3 linked regions of the Drosophila melanogaster genome follow. Changing the gene in region 3 together with the main gene of any one other region gives a genetic interaction. Each region holds a gene or a part of one and is shown on either strand. Other genes may lie near its edges.

Region 1 (7,423 bases), on a different chromosome or scaffold from region 3:
CAGAGTCTAAAGCAGCGTTACTGCACAAAACCTCGGTGAATTGCAGCAACTTGGCCGTCACATTTCCGTATCCGTTCTTCGTTTTCGGCGAGAAGATTCGCACGCGAGCTGTTTCCTGCAAGCAACTATCTATGGTCTCGCCCTTGCAGGTGATATTGTTTGGATCGCGCAAGATTGACTTGGCCGCCAACAATATAGTGCGCGTTGACAACTGGCTTAACTTCGACATAGAGCCGGAACTTGCGGCCAAGATTGGTGCCCTTAAGCCGGCCCTGGAGGATCTTATCACGGTGGCGTGCGACAACCCTTCCGACATACTTCGCCTTGAGGAGCCCTATGCACAGCTGGTCAAAGTGGTCAAAGACCTTTGCGTTAAGAGCGCCGGAGACTTCGGACTGCAGCGTGAATCAGGAATTCTGCCGCACCAATCACGTCAGTTCAGTGACGGCGGAGGACCGCCCAAACGAGGTCGCTTTGAGACAGGACGCTTTACTAACAGCAGCTTTGGTCGCCGTGGAAACGGCAGAACTTTTGGAGGAGGATATGGAAATAATGGAGGAGGATATGGAAATAATGGAGGAGGATATGGAAATATTGGAGGAGGATATGGAAATAATGCAGGAGGTTATGGAAATAATGGTGGATATGGAAATAATGGCGGAGGTTATAGAAATAATGGTGGAGGATATGGAAACAATGGCGGAGGATATGGGAACAAGAGAGGTGGATTTGGAGACTCATTTGAAAGCAATAGAGGATCAGGCGGCGGCTTTAGAAATGGCGACCAAGGCGGCCGCTGGGGTAACTTTTAACGGATACATAAAAAAAATGTATTGGTTTTTTCAAAAACAAAAAGAATAATAAACATTACTATTCGCATTTCGATATGCTGAAGGGATTATACAAATAAGACGCATTGAATCTTTTGGTTTTTTGGCATTAAATACGCATGTGCGATCCGAATAGATTCACGAGTTAACGTATGTAAATAGTAACCAAATATGATAGTTCCGCTGACATTCCCTAACCTGTTGCATACATACATATATTGCTGGAATTTCGTTTGTGAAGGCGTGGAAATCGTTTATTGTCACAAAATGAGATCAAAAACATTCATTCTATAAAGGCTTTTGGTGAACCTGTGTAATCATTATTTTTTATCTCTGCTAGCATTTTAGACGATTACTGATTTCGCAATTAGACCTTTTTAAAACATATGTCATGACAACAATATATACAATAAAAAGCCATATATATGCAAAACATATTTCGTGCCTTATCAAAACTCGAAGGGAAAAGAAAAATTAATTATTGTACAGATATGGCGGTGATTTTAAAATATCATAATTTTCGAAGCAATAATGAAAGTTGATCAAATAAATATTAGATCACAAAGATTTGAGGAGCACCAGAAATGTAATAGTAACTGGAGTAAGCTGTTCTTACGCTTCTTTTTTACTGGTCAAGATGGTGAGCTTCGTTACCAATTAAAAGTGGTGGTCAGTGATGACGTTGTGTTGCTAAGCAATTCAATTTTTATCGTATGTATTTCGGCTTCAGTGAGAACAGTTTTTCAATCGAAGTATCGATACGACACAATTAAAAATATCGAAAGAGCGTAGTATCATTCATCTCTAGCATTTGCTTCGGCGCGTAGTTTTTGTTTAACCGATACAAGACAACCAAAAGTTTCAGGTCATTTGCTTGAGGAGAACGATATGGACTTTGACAATGCGAAAGAGAACATTCAGCCGCTGGCCAGCGGTCGCAATGTGAGCCTTCTGCAGGCTTCTCTTAGCCAGGACTCCACCCACGGCCAGGAACTGCTGGCACAACGCAAGCAAATGGAGGAGGAGGTGCGCACCTACAAAGGCGCGGATCCTCTCGGTGCCTGGTACACGTTCATCTGCTGGATCGAGCAGAGCTATCCGGCGGGGGGCAGTGGCTCCGGTCTGCAGACTGTCCTACACCAGTGCCTCACCAAATTTGAAGACGACGAGCGCTACCGTCAGGACAAGCGGCTTATAAAGCTTTTCATTAAATTCGTGAGTAGCCGATGATATTTTAAACGATCACTCAACCACCGATTTTACTTCGTCACTTTTTAGATGGAGAAACAGAAGGACAAGATCGAGTTTTATCAGCAGATGTACAACAACGGGATCGGAACAATGCTGGCAGATTTCTACATTGCTTGGGCCTACAGCTACGACCTGAGCGGTAACATGCGCAAGGCCGACGAGATCTTTCGCTTAGGTCTAGAGTGCCGCGCAGAGCCCTTAGAGGATCTGAAGGAGGCCCACCACCACTTTGGCTATACGGTGGGCCAGCGCATGCTCTACAGCACTGGTGAAGAGGCCAACGCAGTAAACCAGGAACTTAACGAGCGACGGCTAGCACTGCAATCACTTCATGGTCGCCGGCAGCAGATCTCTAACAGCATCACCGTGGGCAGCATCCGTACCGGAGCAGCAGTTAAAAGCGGCCTCCCAGGCGTGGTTCAGGTGGGTGATTTTTTATTTCATGTTTACAAAGAACTTGGTTGGCTAGAGAAATCGGTTTCAAGTATAATTTTGCTTTTATAACTTATGTTTGATGCATGTTTAATGACTATCTTCTCTAGAATTCAGAAACAACAGAGAACGATAGAGAACGAGTCGGTTTCCTTGACTATCAGGTGCACCTTACCTTAATTTGTATTTGTATTTTATTAAACGGCTTAGGGTGAACCTGTCCAACTTTTTGGAGATCCCGCCGTTAAGCTCGATTTTTTCTAAGGGATTTTAAATCCACCTAAGCTTTTATATCAATATACAGTAGTAATAAAAAAGGTTTAAATCGAATAAAATTTCTTTAAAAATATACATTGTCATTCTGCAGGTCGAGCCTTCAACCACCACCAGTAGGCGCAATGTAGGTCGGAACGTTGAGGTGTTTAATGACGAAAATTCTGAGGGAAATATTCCGATCTCTAATTCTGAGACGGAGGTGAAGTCAAGCCTGCGATCCATTATCGACTCGGCTTGCAGTCAGGAGAATATAAAAGAACCGGTGGCCTGGAATAAGGCAAATGCTAAACGCCACAAACATGGAAAAATTTTCGGCAGTAACGCCTCGCCGGATCTGGGCTTTGATATACACGTTGACGAACAAGCAATGCCACCTATTACAAACTACGAGCGTCGTCTAGAACAACCATTTAGATTTCCGACAAACTTTGTGGCCAAGAACAGGCCTCAGGAACCGTGGGTGACGCCAGTTACTATTGAGGACGAGCCAAACGCAAGTGGACTGCCTTGCTATAACAAGTGTCTCCTCTACCCCCGCCCCAACATCGAGTTCTCGCCCGAAGAGTATCGAGCCTATTCCTTTTTGAAGCATCGCAACCCACAGCATCCATTTATCCATCGCAATGATGATTGGTGGGGCACTGGACGGGTGATCAGAGGAATTCGCTGCTATCCGAATTTCGCCAGATATTCTAAGCCACAAGATCTCGATGAGCTAGACAAGTTTTGGAAACCCCCACTGGTACCGGGCCTTCAGGTAGTTTTTGACAAAATTTACAACGAAGTTGAGCAAAAGGAGTACCAGCCAGAGGAGTTGTTGGCAGCTAAATGGATGGAAAAACGAAATGTGACAGTTCATGGTGACTTTGACATGGAAGAAACCGTTTGCTTGCCCGGAAACAAGATGCCACGCCGCAAGAGCTTCTTTCCCTCTTCCTTCAGAAAATCCATCATGCCACGCAGAGTTTCGTCTGTGCAGGAGGAGGATGAAAAGAAAGAGGATGAAGCCACTTTGATTGTAAAAGATATACCTTCTCAGGTGGCACCTAAGATACCTGAATCGCCGTGCGATCAAATAGATGAGCCAAAAATTAAAATATTTGAGGATTCCGGTTCTCCACGTGACAATTTTGCTGTACCGGCCGTTCCTGTTCCGAAAATAGAGATCTATGAAGACTCTGAAGAGCCGCAGCCAACTCCAAAAACAAGGCCGTTTTATGACGGAGATGAGACCTGCTCCACGCAAATGTTCAACATGTTCATAAAGTCGCAGGCAGTAAGCACTCCTAAGGGAACACAGAAACAGGCTCCGTCACGTCAATTTGGAACCGTGCTCAAAGAACTACCGCTACCAGAGGAGGCTGCTCATTCCGTCGAATCTCCAGTGGAGACTCGTTCTCCAACTTTGCGAAAGCAACTATCTACCATATTGGAAACCTCTGAGCACGGCACACAAAGCTTGGCGACGAGCGGTACCACCACTAAATCCACTATTACCTCCACGTCTTCACCCGGATCCAATGCTGTTTCTAAACTAGGCAGCAAGATTGAAGAGAACACTCCTGGACAAATGCGTCTGCAGCGCGTGATAAGTGCTGGTGTATCAGCAGTCCTTTCCGAGCCGGAAAAACCGGGTGGTGACAACTTTTTGCGCCGTGAGTTATGGGAGCCCAATGCGCCTAGCGTGCCTATGCTTAAGTCGTTGCGCTTCCAAGAGGATAAGACAGAGACTATCCCAAGACCTCTTGCTTGCTTTCAGGAAGATAAAACTGAAACACTCCCACAAATGCCGATCGCACTGCCGGAGAATTCTATGGATCATGGCTCACTGGGAGCTGAAAATTGTTTTTCCGCACCGCAACTTCCCACTTTGGAGGATGAAAGCGATTTGTGTGGATTGTTTGGAAAGACACCGCCGAAAACAAATATTTTTGGCTCTCCGAAGCGCAATTTCGATCCAACTTCACAGCTTTTTAAATCGACACAGGGCGATCGGAGATCCTTCGCAGTGACTGGCAACAAACTGGAGGCTGCGCCCAGCATCAGCAATCTGCAGGATTCCTTTATGTGCGACCTTTCCTTTGTGCCCGAAACGCAGCCTGAAGCTGTAGCAAAATCAGGGGCGATACAGAAGTTTGATATTTTTCTGGACGACACGCAGCCAAAGCTCACTAAGTCAAAACCAGTAGCTTTAATGGTCTCCAGCTTTGACTTAGACTGCACGCTGCCCGAAACGCAACAGGTGGCAATTAAGGAGCCAGGGACTCAACAGGAAAATATTGGGCACTCCCATATGATTGCCTCGTTTATGAAAGATTGCACAGAAATAGGCAGCTGTCCTTCACAGATGCCGGCTTCCGTTGTCAAAACGAATATTTCAAGCACATCGAATAAGATCAAATTTTCCAACGATTCCATGTCAGAATCGTCAAGGAAAGCCCCTGTGAATGAAAATGTCGGTATTTCAAAACAACCTGACGAGTTTTTCGAGCTTAACGCAGCTACTGAAATGTTTGCAACAAATATCAGTATGATAAAAAATTCCACACTGCTGATCCCTAACGCAAAGGTAGCAGAGGCGTCGGAACTAAGCATCTACTATAAGACAACTCCACTGACGCCGAAGCAATCGCACCGTTCCTGGTCGCAGTCTGATTTAGAAACTCCTCCGCGGGAAAACTTTGTTCACCCCACCTCAAACGGAGATCAAACTGTTTTGAACGAAACGCTGGCAGACGCTAATAAAAACCCTTTCAATGTAGAACTGATCAGCTCGCTACTCGAATCAATTGACTTTTCTATGTACATCGAAAAGCTGCCCCATTGTCAACTGGTTGGACACGTTAAGCGCCTACATCCTAACACCCACCTGGAAGTGCACAACGAAAAGTTTGAGGTGTCTAAAATGATAGGAAAGGGGGCTTATGGCTCGGTTTATGTAGGAAAGCATCTGAAATCTGGCAAGAAGGTCGCGCTCAAGCAGGAACGGCCCACTAACTACTGGGAGTTCTACATTTGTCTAGAGATTCACAGCCGGCTAACTAGTGAGCAAATGGTAAGGCATAACTAATAATATATGGACATTAAATCCGATTTTTCAAATAGTTTTTATTCCAAGTTTATTATCCTAGAATATTACCTATTCATATCATATAGAGGGATAATTATTAATACTTGTCACATGACACGAATTAACCGAATGCAAATTCTTTTACAGATTCCATCCTATGCACATATTGACTATGCACTGGTAGGAAATAATTCCAGTGTATACATCTCAGAGTTTTCAGACTATGGTTCTCTGATCGGTGTATGCAACAAGGTTAAGAGTGTCACTAACAGGAATATGGACGAGTATGTGGTAATGCATCTGAGTTGCCAAATGCTCGATATTGTGGATCACCTGCACGCCATGGGTATAATCCACGCCGACATCAAGCCGGATAACTTTCTACTTATGAAACCGTAATAACCAGAAAGCTTCTTCGTCAACACCAATAATATCACAGGTTTTTTCTGTTTCAGGATATGTGCGGATCCCAACGAAGTCAGCCTGCAGCTTATTGATTTCGGTGTGTCTATTGACATGAAGCTGTTTCCGGACAATCAGACATTCAACTATGTTCATCATGATGACCTATTCAAGTGCATTGAGATGAGAACGGGACGCCCATGGACTTACCAATTGGATTTATATGGTCTCGTAAGCGTTATGCATGTGCTGCTTTTCGGCCGCTATATGGAAGTAGTGCAGCGGTCTCCGAGCACGATTTGGATGCCGAAAACAAACGTGCCACGCTACTTTCAGCGCACAATGTGGGAAAACATCTTCCGCACTCTGCTTAACATTAGAGATTGTCGCACCATGCCTAATCTGCAGCAACTGCGTACGCAGCTTAAATGTGCGTTGGCCGAAAAGGAAAAATATGTTGCCGAGGCAATCAGCAAGTTTAACACGATATTGCAGAAATAGCTGTCTTCTTGTGCAAACATAGTAATATAAACATATTCACATTGCATACCTTAACACGTTCTTGTTAACTGGTTAATGGTTGCTATAAGTAATACGCAACTATTCTGTTTTAAAATTTAAAATAAAAAGAAAAGGTTTTTTAAAAGTGTGTGTGTGACTGTTTTGAAACCGTGGCACTTAACTAATAAAACACTGGCTATTCTAGAATGTGCATCATGGGTCATGGTTATATCGACTCGACTGTTTACCTTGATCAAGAATATAAATTTAGTTACGTTGGAAACGCGTAATTCTGACTGTTGCATACTTTTCAACGAATCTCAAATACCCTTTTATTCGGCGAAGAAACAACGATTTTTGAATCCTCCATTCGTTGCCCCTCATCTTTCAGCTGGGAGACGCTGCCATATACATATGTATTAATGACGGCAGCAGAATATCTTCTCACTAGATGCCATGAAACTTGGTTTATCAATCTTAGGGAAACGAGATCATTTCTTTTAATTGCAATGATTGCGGTAGGTGCTTATGAATCGCGGACTCGTTTGGCAGTCGTTTGTGTATTCCACACAAAATCTTATTCATCTTATTATGCAAGGACATGTCAAATTTTATTTTTGGCGACATATCTTACATTTTTTTCCATTAATTATGTATGTGT
Region 2 (4,660 bases), on a different chromosome or scaffold from region 3:
AGGTAGCAATGGTTTGCTCCCAATAGTTTTGATACCATTCTTTTTACTACCTGATTTTATGGGCTACCTGGATTAAAGTCGCTGCTGCATTGCAATTTTTCGCACGTTTCATTGCTGAAAACTCTCTTATTATCTATATGTATGACTGTCTCACGCGCACATTTGGGTATTTATCTTTCGGAGTTATCTATGTTTCTCTTAGGGTACAATTTTCTCTTAAAGAGCGAACGACCTTGCATCGCGCGCTCTTTTGTTCTACGGTTTCGATCGATCATTTTGCCATTGTTGTCACGGAATTTAGGTTGGGCAACTAATTCAAATCGATAAGTTCAATACATTGATTACCGAGCCTTGATTATTGTTCAGTTAATCAGTTTTTATTCTTTTCATTTGTTTTGTATGTCCGTTGGGATTTCATAACCACCTAGCCATCTTTTGCATTTTGTTAATAGCTAAGTCTTTGGTAACTCTCTTTGATGACTCTCTTGAGTGCCATAATCATTTCCATTCAAACCAAACCACTCGCTCTTCATACTCCATGTGGAAAAAACTGGCAGCTGCAGAACCAACGAAACCAACTGGTTTTGAATGCCCTTCTATCACTTCAATGGGGTATCTCAAATCCTGATTTCGAAGACAAAAAAATTTTCGGGATTAGTAATTTTTATTACGCAAGTTTTTAAAGATAACATCCTTAAAACTTGTAATTTTTACACCCGTGCAAAATTCATAATTTATTTTACAAAGTTTCCAAGAATTTGAGCGCTGCTAAAGAAAGACGACTAAAGACAATTCCGAACTTTAAATCCAAGGCGTATGGGTTAGCGATAAATCTGAGAGCCAGAGATATTACAAAACAATAAGAGGACCTTTTTGAACTACCCGGCTTTGTAATTATCTTAGCACTGGCCCATTTGGGAAATTCCCAGAGTTAAATAATAAAATTGAGCTCGTGTTTTCCAAGAATTTTCTCAACTTATCCCAACCGCAAATCTTTTAAGCCACGGTCACCAAATCGCGATCTCTAAATGCAGCGCATCTGAGATTATACCTGGCCGAGATACCTTAAACGCCACTCTCGCTCGCTCAACTTCTGCTATCTCACTCCCACTCTTGAAAACCTACAAGCTGCAGAAACGCGTCGCAGTTTTATCATTATCACAACAAATACAAACGCAGCAGAGCGGAGGTGAGATGGAAGAAGCAAAACGACGTCGTCGTTGGTAGTAAATAAACACAATGGAACTGAGCAAATCCACAAACGTACTGGTGCACTGAAAAAATCACTTTAAAGTTTTAAGAGGACTTAACAACTTGTAATATAATAAATAAAATAAAACACTATGATAATAATGGCTTAATAGGTTGTATTAAAAGCGCGTAATAGAATAAGGCAATACCCTTTGATGACGACCTTTTCCAAATCGATAGAAAAGTAGTAAGATCACTCTTCCCTCAAAGTGATCTTAACACCACATTTAGTTGAAATCAGGGCCAATTTGTTCGATTTTTCTCAGTGCACACACACACAGGCCGAAACACCCTGTAACAGCTGTCGCTCTCTTCCGCTCTTTGCACGCTCGCACTCTTTCCTCTCGACTCAAACAGCGCTGAGCGTGCGGCCAGAGTCAGCCAGTACAGTAGAGCAATTTGAGCCGCCGCATCGAGCTAACCGCTTACCGCTTGCCGGACAAACGCGTTCCGTTTTCCCTCCGCTTCCATTCGCTTTCGGCCCACTGTCGTCGTCGGTTGTCCAAATGTCCGCGTAGGGATAGTGTAACCTTTTTCCAATTTCCGGGGGGGTCATAGTAAAAAAGTTAACACCTAAGTAGTCCAGGCCTTTTGGGCCAAGCCGATCCCAGCCATCCATTTACCGGGCACCGGGCTCTTAACACGGGGATCGTTTTAATCGGTGTCGCGTTGTCGTTATTTCGGTTTTTCGCGATTTTCCCCACATTCCGTGTGCTGTGTGCTGTGCGAGGTGTTCTTGGAATTAATAAATAGTTAAAACCGAAACGTTGGCAAAAATCCACTGAATGAGCAAGAAAGTTATATAAGGCCCGAACCGGATTTATTTATTAATTATACATACGAATGTGATCAAAACAAAAACAGACTGACAACAAAACTCGGCTTTTTGGAATATACCAAAAAAAGCAACTCAAATACAAACCGATCCCGATATATATATGGTAAATGTTTAAAACCAAAAAAAAAAAAAAAACAGTAACAACAGCCAAAGTTGAGCTTAACTTGAGCTTCGGATTTAAAGCCAAGTCAAAACGAGTTTATTGTGGTGCAAAATCAGATTTGCATATACATATGCAATTCTTTTACAGCTTTACGCTAGTTGTTGCTGCTTTGACATTTGTAAAAACATAATATTCATTTTTGTAATAATTCCAGTTTTTGACGTCTTCAATATGCATTGGTATAGAAAACTAAAAACAGCTGTTCAAACTATGTAACACTATACTAGACTTTGCTTCGCAATAAGCTAAAGTATTCAAAATACGTTTTGGGGCATTAATTTTAATAATCAGGGGGAGTATATCCATTAAGGTTATAGCGATACCAGTAATTTAGAATGAATTACCCAGCTAAAAAACTCAATAAATCTTTGCAGTTTGCACTTGAACATAGCAATTGTTGAGAGAGGGTTAACAAATGAAATATATAAACACAATTAGCAATTAGCTGATTTTGGCTGGATCACATGAACGCACATACATACATACGCACATACGTACATATATATCTAAAAAGTTACGATTGACTGGATTCTACTGGTCTCCAGTCTCTCACGTTTCCGAAGATGAATCATTTGGCATGACTACAACTCTTCGAATCGATCGTATATAAAGACTATTTAGACTATTTCAAATATAGTCCCACATTTCAGTTTAAAATCCAATGAATTTCTGCCGAAGCATGCACATATTCTTACCACAAACTCTTCTCCCAGCTCTTTTGTAAAGTTAATTTATTTTAATGTATACTGTGTGCCAAATTATTTGACTGTCAACTGCATAAATTACTGCGATAACAAACAAAACGAAGAAAAAAAAGAAAAGTGGCAAAGGCAAAATGGAAAATGGGGAAAATTTCCCATTGAAATGAGTAATGAATTGGTTTGGGGCGGCTGAGAACGAAACCAACCGAGAGTGGGTGAAAATATATTATAATAACAGTGTAATTAAATGCCAACTTGGCCCCCGCTTTCGCCAGAAGAGAGTTTTTTGCAGCCGCAAACTATGGGATACTTTTGCTTTGCATAATTATGCTGTTCAACTTGATTTACTCGGAATGTTCTTCAAGATCTTGAGTTTCCACCAAAAGGGCTCCCTGATTTATGCTGCACTTTTTTCTTTTTTTTTTGGTAGCAATGCTTTGCAGCCTGGTCAGATTATAAATCTCAGCAGTTCATAAAAACTTCAGGCAAAAAGCTCCAGCAAAAACCATTCAGAAACATTCCAAGAAAAGCCAGAAACACGAACGAAAAAAAAAACTGGTAACAAGCCGAGGAAAAAAGTAAGAACATAATGCTACCTGGGTGCAGTTGGACTTGAGTTAAGCCAACTCTGGGATGGTGGAGCCGCGTCGAATGGAACCGGTTTGGTGGCTGGCTGGCAGCCAGCCGACTCCAACTTTTCTCACATGCCTTTCGATTATGCCAAGTCGACTGCATTCTTCGAGACGCGGCTTTCGCTAAACGTTTGGCTAAGACCGAGCTCTCAGCTCTCAGCTCCAAGCTCCAGCGCCCCATCCTCGAGCTCCATCCCATCGCTCTGCAAGTTCAACACTCAGTCGAGGAGTTAGACCTCAACTTCAACTTCAACTTGATCGCTGCCTCGGCTGTGGCTGCATAAAACTTTAATTTCATGGAATTTCCTTTCTATTTTTATGCTGCAACGCCGATGATTAACAACAGCAGCAGCAGCCAGCCAGCCAACTGCCAACAAAGAGAGACGTTGGACAAGTCAAGAACACGGGAACAAGTCCAAGACCAAGTCTAACTCCAAGTCATGGCTGCCAGCTAGAACTTCAACTTCTGGGCCATTAACTTAGCTCTGGAGACGGGACACAGCGGGCATGTGGCACCTGGCATTCTACATCTAAGGCAGGAAATTAAAAATGCAAAAAATTGGATAATTATGCATGTAAACGTTTTGTCATTAAGTTGATACTTAAATGCTGCGTCGATTAACAGGCAGATTTTAATAGAAAATAACGCTATTAAATCGGCCTAGAAGACACGGGGATTCCTTTAGGTGTCCCCACTTGTATTTCTTTTATAAAAACCACTTGCAATTGCTTTGAAAGTCTGCAAAAAATTACAATTATGAACCTTAAAGGGTATTAGAGAGTTTGTAACTTTTTGTTTATACTTGGCATTTTTCTTGCCTGCCAATAGCTAACTAGCCGTAAAGCTGAACAGCAAACATTTCGCATTAATGCCAAAAACTTTTCTCGCCTCTCGAAGACCCGACTAAGTCGACACGCCAACTTGGTAATAACTTGGCCTTGGCTTGGCTAAGTTGGCCAAAGCCGCAGCGCCTTAAGAATGTCAAAGGGCATGCTTGGATATGATTACGAGAATTTCCGTTCCTAGCTCCTTTTTTATTGCCTTTAATGAGCCAGTTCAATTTCCGGTCTGTCA
Region 3 (6,108 bases):
CAGGAGTACACAACACCAGATGAACCGGAGACATTGGGTGAGTTGGATGACACTGCAGTGTTTTATGTTATTTGAATATGTGCAATATAAAGATATCGGCAATCTTCTTAAATCGCTCAGGCATACCAAATTCTGGGTATATAAAGAAATTGCTTATTTATTTCTTATTGGCCCTTCGAAATACTTATGTAACAAACTGATTCTTCAGGTCCCGATGGCATGGAAAAATTCTGCGAGGATATCGGCGTGGAGCCCGAGAATATTGTGATGCTGGTGCTGGCCTACAAAATGGGCGCCACCCAGATGGGCTTCTTCAGCCAGCAGGAGTGGCTAAAGGGCCTCACAGAACTCGACTGCGATTCGGCAGCGAAAATGGTTGTGAAATTGGACTATCTGCGCAGCATACTCAACGATCCCAACTCCTTTAAAAGCATCTACAGATACGCCTACGACTTTGCCAAGGTCAGTAATCCATTTGAATAAACAATGAGCTGCGTTTAATAAGGCTCTGCATATTCCGCAGGACTCGGACCAACGGTGTATGGATATACTCACTGCCAAAGCCATGCTTCAACTACTTTTGGGCAAACATTGGCCTCTGTATCCACAGTTCGCACAGTTTCTAGAGCAATCAAAGTACAAGGCGATCAACAAAGATCAGTGGTGTAATATTCTCGAGTTCTCGCGCACCATTAGCATTGATCTATCAAACTACGATATCGACGGAGCTTGTAAGTAACACAAAGGAGCTAACTAAACTAAACTGAACTATGTATTTCGCAACCGTATTAAAAGAAGCTGATAAATAAGTTAAAATAAGAACTTGAAACGGAGCATTTAGTTACCCCCATCTTTTTGCAGGGCCCGTCATGCTGGATGAGTTTGTTGAATGGCTGCGCCTGCAGCGGAGTCAGGTCACCTCCACAACCGGATCTAGCTGAGAAAAGCTGTATCGAGTCGCCTATTTCTAGTTCAACTTTGGGAGCTCAGTGCGGAGAGGAGTTCGCGGAGACTGAGTCGGAGATGGGATGCGATGCGATGGGATGGGAATGCTGATAAGATAGATCGGCGAAAATTTAAGACATAACCGCAGGACACTCACTGACACCCACACCCACACTCAGATCCACGATCAGATCCACCAGCCACTTCTTCGGCCTAAAACACACAAGCACACACTCACCCACACGGAAACACAAGGCATTTTGGAGAGACTGCGTACACTGGCAAAGCAACCAACTATGAAACTAAACTATTGATAATATATTTAATGTAATAATTTATGTATTAACGACGACAACTAAGAACTAAAACCACATTTTTCTACTTATAAGGCCTCTTTCGCAAACAAAAACAAAACATTAAAATCAGAACAGCAACAAGAGCCAAAACGGGGCAGCTTGTAAGGAGTAATCCCAGAGAACGAAACGATGGCAATAACCAAGAGACCCCAAATAGACCTATTCTAGAACATACAATCCTCCAACCCAAGCGACCCCTTCGAGATATCAGCAGGCATAGTCAAAATCTAAACGGAAATCTACACCAATAGTGGGGTATTCGTAGTCGTTATTAAATCAATGTAGAAAAACAAAATCTGGGGATTATTTAATAAAGTTATTAAGTAAACACATTATTTTTTCTATTTACTTGTGTGTGTTTTAGTGTTGTTTTTTTTTTATCAAAATTATTTTTAACCGTTATTTGAAAGTTTAACTGAAAAACATAGAAGGCTTTGAGATAGCTGTTTCTAATAATTTCTTTTTAACACAAATCAGGATCGAAACCTGCAATTACAAGGTGGCAGTATTTTTACTCAGAAAACGTTTGCAGCAATTCAAATTAGAAAAGGGGCTCTACAATATAAAGTTGACCGTTGACTGTTTAGTAAACTCAATTTATGAAACCCTTTTGAAATTTCAAAAATGTAACGTTAGTTTTTGTAGATTTTCAAATAAATAGCGGTTAAACACAGTGTTGCGCAGAGCAATAGGAAAAAATATTGCGCTCAATTCGAACAGAGTAAACGCCAGTAGGTAAATTCAAAAGGGTAACGGCCATAGAATTTGTTGTTCAACACTCAACAAAATACCGCGATACATACCAGAAAGTGTGCGATAGCCAGCGAAACGGGCACACCAATTCAGCTGACGCTTCACGTCCAATTCATTTTGGCATTTAAAAAATCGAACGGTTTCGGCGCGTTCTCCGCTTTGTGCTTGGTTTTCGTGCATTCGATGGGCAAAACCGAGATTTGATCGCCGCTTCTCTTGTCAACCGTGTGGATCTGATCTCCGTTTCCGAGGCACTTTCAGCCGATCGCCGGTGGAATTATAGGCTCAGAACGAGGAGTATCGCCGCAAAACTCCAGGCGAACGCAAACGCAAAAGGGGCAGTCCGTAGTAAAGAAGAAAGGAGAGCAAGATGGCCGCGAAGCCCGAGGATAAGAGCACGGATATTCCGGATCGCCTCGTCGACATCAACCAGCGGAAAACCTACAAGCGCATGCGGTTCTTCGGCAAGGTGAGTCCGGATGCGGATTTGCAGATGCCCGGGATCAGATCAGTCGAAGGGATCACACATTTACCTACACGCACACATGCACGCACCCGCATACACACATATCCATTTCCACATCCCGGTTTTCGTTCCGTTTTCCTTGCTGATGAGCATTCCCTTGTTGTTTTTGTAGCTCTCTCCTTTAAGAGCAGGAGAGAAAAAGAGAGCCTGTGTGTGGGAATCTTGTACGAGCCTGTGTGTGTGTGTTCATGCAGTTGGCTGCTTGTTCAGTTTTTTTTTTTGGCGCGGCTTCTTCGAATTTACATAGACAAGAAAAGGAACTGTTGCAACTTAGTTGAACCAACAATTTCCTCGTTGTGCTATTGGCATATAAATATTTTCTTGGAAGGGGCTCCGCAGATTGGAGCAAAGGTACTAAACATGTGATTGTTAAATATAAATTACTAATTTTATGTTGCCAACCAATATGGATAAAAAGTTTATACAGAATATGTTTGTAAAATAGACATCAATACGTTTATTAAACGCCATTTACTTGAAAATACCTATATGCAAAGTTTTATCATAGATCTGTTTTTAATACAGTATAAGGTTATGTTTTTGTATAATGTTTTTAAATACAAAATTAATATGCTTTATGCAGGGCGGGTTTGCAAAATGTTACGAGATCATCGATGTGGAAACCGACGACGTCTTCGCCGGCAAGATCGTATCCAAGAAGCTGATGATCAAACACAATCAGAAGGAGAAGACCGCCCAGGAGATAACTATTCACCGCAGCCTTAACCATCCGAACATTGTCAAGTTTCACAACTACTTTGAAGATTCGCAGAATATCTACATTGTGCTGGAGCTGTGCAAGAAAAGAGTGAGTTTAATAGAACATCTCTGCAATATGCCACCATGACACTTACCTCTCCGACTTACAGTCCATGATGGAGCTGCACAAACGTAGGAAAAGCATTACGGAGTTCGAATGCCGCTACTACATTTACCAGATAATCCAGGGCGTTAAGTACTTGCACGATAACCGCATTATCCATCGAGATCTGAAGCTGGGCAATCTCTTCCTCAACGATTTGTTGCACGTGAAGATCGGGGATTTCGGGTTGGCCACGCGCATTGAGTATGAGGGCGAGCGAAAAAAGACCTTATGCGGAACGCCCAACTATATAGCCCCGGAGATCCTCACCAAGAAGGGCCACTCCTTCGAGGTGGACATCTGGTCGATTGGCTGCGTCATGTACACACTGCTTGTGGGCCAGCCGCCGTTCGAAACCAAGACTCTGAAGGATACGTACTCGAAAATCAAGAAGTGCGAGTACCGCGTGCCCAGCTACTTAAGGAAACCGGCGGCGGATATGGTCATCGCCATGCTGCAGCCAAATCCGGAGAGCCGCCCGGCAATTGGTCAGCTGCTGAACTTTGAGTTCCTCAAGGGCTCAAAGGTGCCCATGTTCTTGCCCAGCTCTTGTCTGACAATGGCGCCGCGTATCGGCAGCAACGACACCATCGAGGATTCGATGCACCGCAAGCCACTGATGGAGATGAACGGCATCAGGCCCGACGACACTCGTCTGGAGTCGACCTTCCTCAAGGCCAATCTGCACGACGCCATTACCGCGTCAGCGCAGGTGTGCCGCCACAGCGAGGACTATCGCAGCGATATCGAGAGCCTGTACCAGCAGCTCACTAATCTTATCAACGGAAAGGTAAGTACCTTTTGCTCTATATTAGTTAAATAATTTAAGACTCTTATACCTCTTCACTTCTTTAGCCGCGAATTCTGCAAGGCAATCTGGGCGACGAGAACACAGATCCTGCAGCGCAGCCGCTCTTCTGGATATCCAAGTGGGTTGACTACAGCGACAAGTACGGATTTGGTTACCAGCTGTGCGATGAGGGCATCGGCGTGATGTTCAACGACACCACAAAGCTGATCCTGCTGCCGAATCAGATCAACGTACACTTCATCGACAAGGATGGCAAGGAGACGTACATGACCACCACGGATTACTGCAAGTCGCTTGACAAGAAGATGAAGCTGCTGTCGTACTTTAAGCGCTACATGATCGAGCACCTGGTGAAGGCAGGTGCCAACAATGTGAACATTGAGAGCGATCAAATCTCGCGTATGCCCCATTTACACTCCTGGTTCCGTACAACATGTGCCGTAGTTATGCATTTGACCAACGGTTCTGTGCAGGTTTGTATAATTGTACAGCATCGGCATCATGTACATCTGGTCCTAATGAACTATCTATCCTTCTTAGCTAAACTTCTCAGATCACATGAAGCTCATCCTCTGCCCGCGCATGAGTGCTATAACCTATATGGACCAGGAGAAGAACTTCCGCACCTACCGATTTTCGACCATTGTGGAGAACGGCGTGTCTAAAGACTTGTACCAGAAGATCCGATATGCCCAGGAGAAACTTAGGAAAATGCTGGAGAAGATGTTCACATAAGCGTAGCCAGCCCAACTATCATTATAAGGCCGAATGTTAGTTTAACGTAATTCACGAATGCCCTGGCCAACTTCATTTATAGCCCAGAAAGTATCCTCCTCTCCCATCATCTTTTAAAATTGTAGTTCCCGTTCAAATTGATTTGTTCGATGTTTATAGAATTTATTTGTTTTTGCCCCTTCCCCTTCATATCGAAAATACTGCTTAAGTTATATTCATCGTCAGTGTTGGGCCTCCCTCAAAAGTAATTTAATATATCTGTTTAATGGTTTTCGTACACGATCCGATCACTTAATGCATTTTAAAGAGATCAAATTAAATGTTTAAACTAAGCAAACGTGTTTCGAAATGCCTATATTCACCGAGGTGACTGATAACAAAATTTTAATGCTGGATACATTATAAAAGTAATAGTGTAATATTGTGCGTTCGTAGTGCGCTATAGCGCCATTTAAAATAATACATAAGTTACAATACTGCTGCAAAGTGTTTAAGTGTACAAGTATATTCAACTTTGGCCAGAAATATCTGTAGCTATAGGATACAATATGTAAATGCTTTTGAACTAAAAGCGAATATATATAAAATTTAATAAAATATCTGAAAAAAGATTGTTTGCAACGTTTAGGGCAGCTGTTCTTAAAATGCACCTGCCAGACTGTAGGTGACGCATTCAGGCGGCTGAGAATTATTTTGAACGAACAAACGTTACAGCCCTTGCATTTCACAACACTGGCATGAGTTATTTGAGAATGCTGTGAGATGGTAACACTGGCACCACTTCTGCGGTCACACCAAGTCAGCATATTGATTTTATTTTCTCGAAAAAAGATCCCAATACGTACACACACTCGCTGAAAAGCCGAACAAGTCTTAAACTTAGATGCAATTAGTGCCGAGGCGGACATAAATCCTCGACATGGGTGACAACGAACAGAAGGCGCTCCAGCTGATGGCCGAGGCGGAGAAGAAGTTGACCCAGCAGAAGGGCTTTCTGGGATCGCTGTTCGGGTGCGTATCAAATCAAAGAAGTTTCGCAATTTCTGTGGGAGTGGGGAAATGGAGCTGTGTCTGGTCTAGCCTAGCATCTCCACAACCCCACAAGGTACTGAGCCCTATT

Evidence for each region. A genetic interaction does not mean that the proteins touch.
Region 1: of polo (region 3) and BubR1, changing one suppresses a phenotype caused by changing the other (phenotypic suppression), as found in Drosophila melanogaster (2 studies listed by BioGRID).
Region 2: of polo (region 3) and numb, changing one suppresses a phenotype caused by changing the other (phenotypic suppression), as found in Drosophila melanogaster (2 studies listed by BioGRID).

Annotation. Positions count from the first base shown.
Region 1 is NT_033778.4:5,968,579-5,976,001, reverse strand, and holds BubR1 (Bub1-related kinase), read left to right. Parts: upstream 1-1,616; 5' UTR 1,617-1,718; coding exon 1,719-2,045; intron 2,046-2,108; coding exon 2,109-2,504; intron 2,505-2,880; coding exon 2,881-5,844; intron 5,845-6,006; coding exon 6,007-6,254; intron 6,255-6,314; coding exon 6,315-6,762; 3' UTR 6,763-6,903; downstream 6,904-7,423. Other genes in the region: mle (maleless), read left to right, coding at 1-812.
Region 2 is NT_033779.5:9,448,190-9,452,849, forward strand, and holds the start of numb (numb), read left to right. Parts: upstream 1-1,640; 5' UTR 1,641-2,192; intron 2,193-2,406; 5' UTR 2,407-2,431; intron 2,432-4,660.
Region 3 is NT_037436.4:20,307,886-20,313,993, forward strand, and holds polo (polo), read left to right. Parts: upstream 1-1,768; 5' UTR 1,769-2,424; coding exon 2,425-2,523; intron 2,524-3,163; coding exon 3,164-3,388; intron 3,389-3,449; coding exon 3,450-4,232; intron 4,233-4,297; coding exon 4,298-4,726; intron 4,727-4,793; coding exon 4,794-4,988; 3' UTR 4,989-5,581; downstream 5,582-6,108. Other genes in the region: SCCRO4 (squamous cell carcinoma-related oncogene 4), read left to right, coding at 1-37, 209-462, 524-731, 862-941; alphaSnap (alpha soluble NSF attachment protein), read left to right, coding at 5,908-5,999. UniProt on the Drosophila melanogaster protein: May play a role in regulating both nuclear and cytoplasmic aspects of the mitotic cycle. Regulates localization of the augmin complex during mitosis by ensuring its location on mitotic spindles.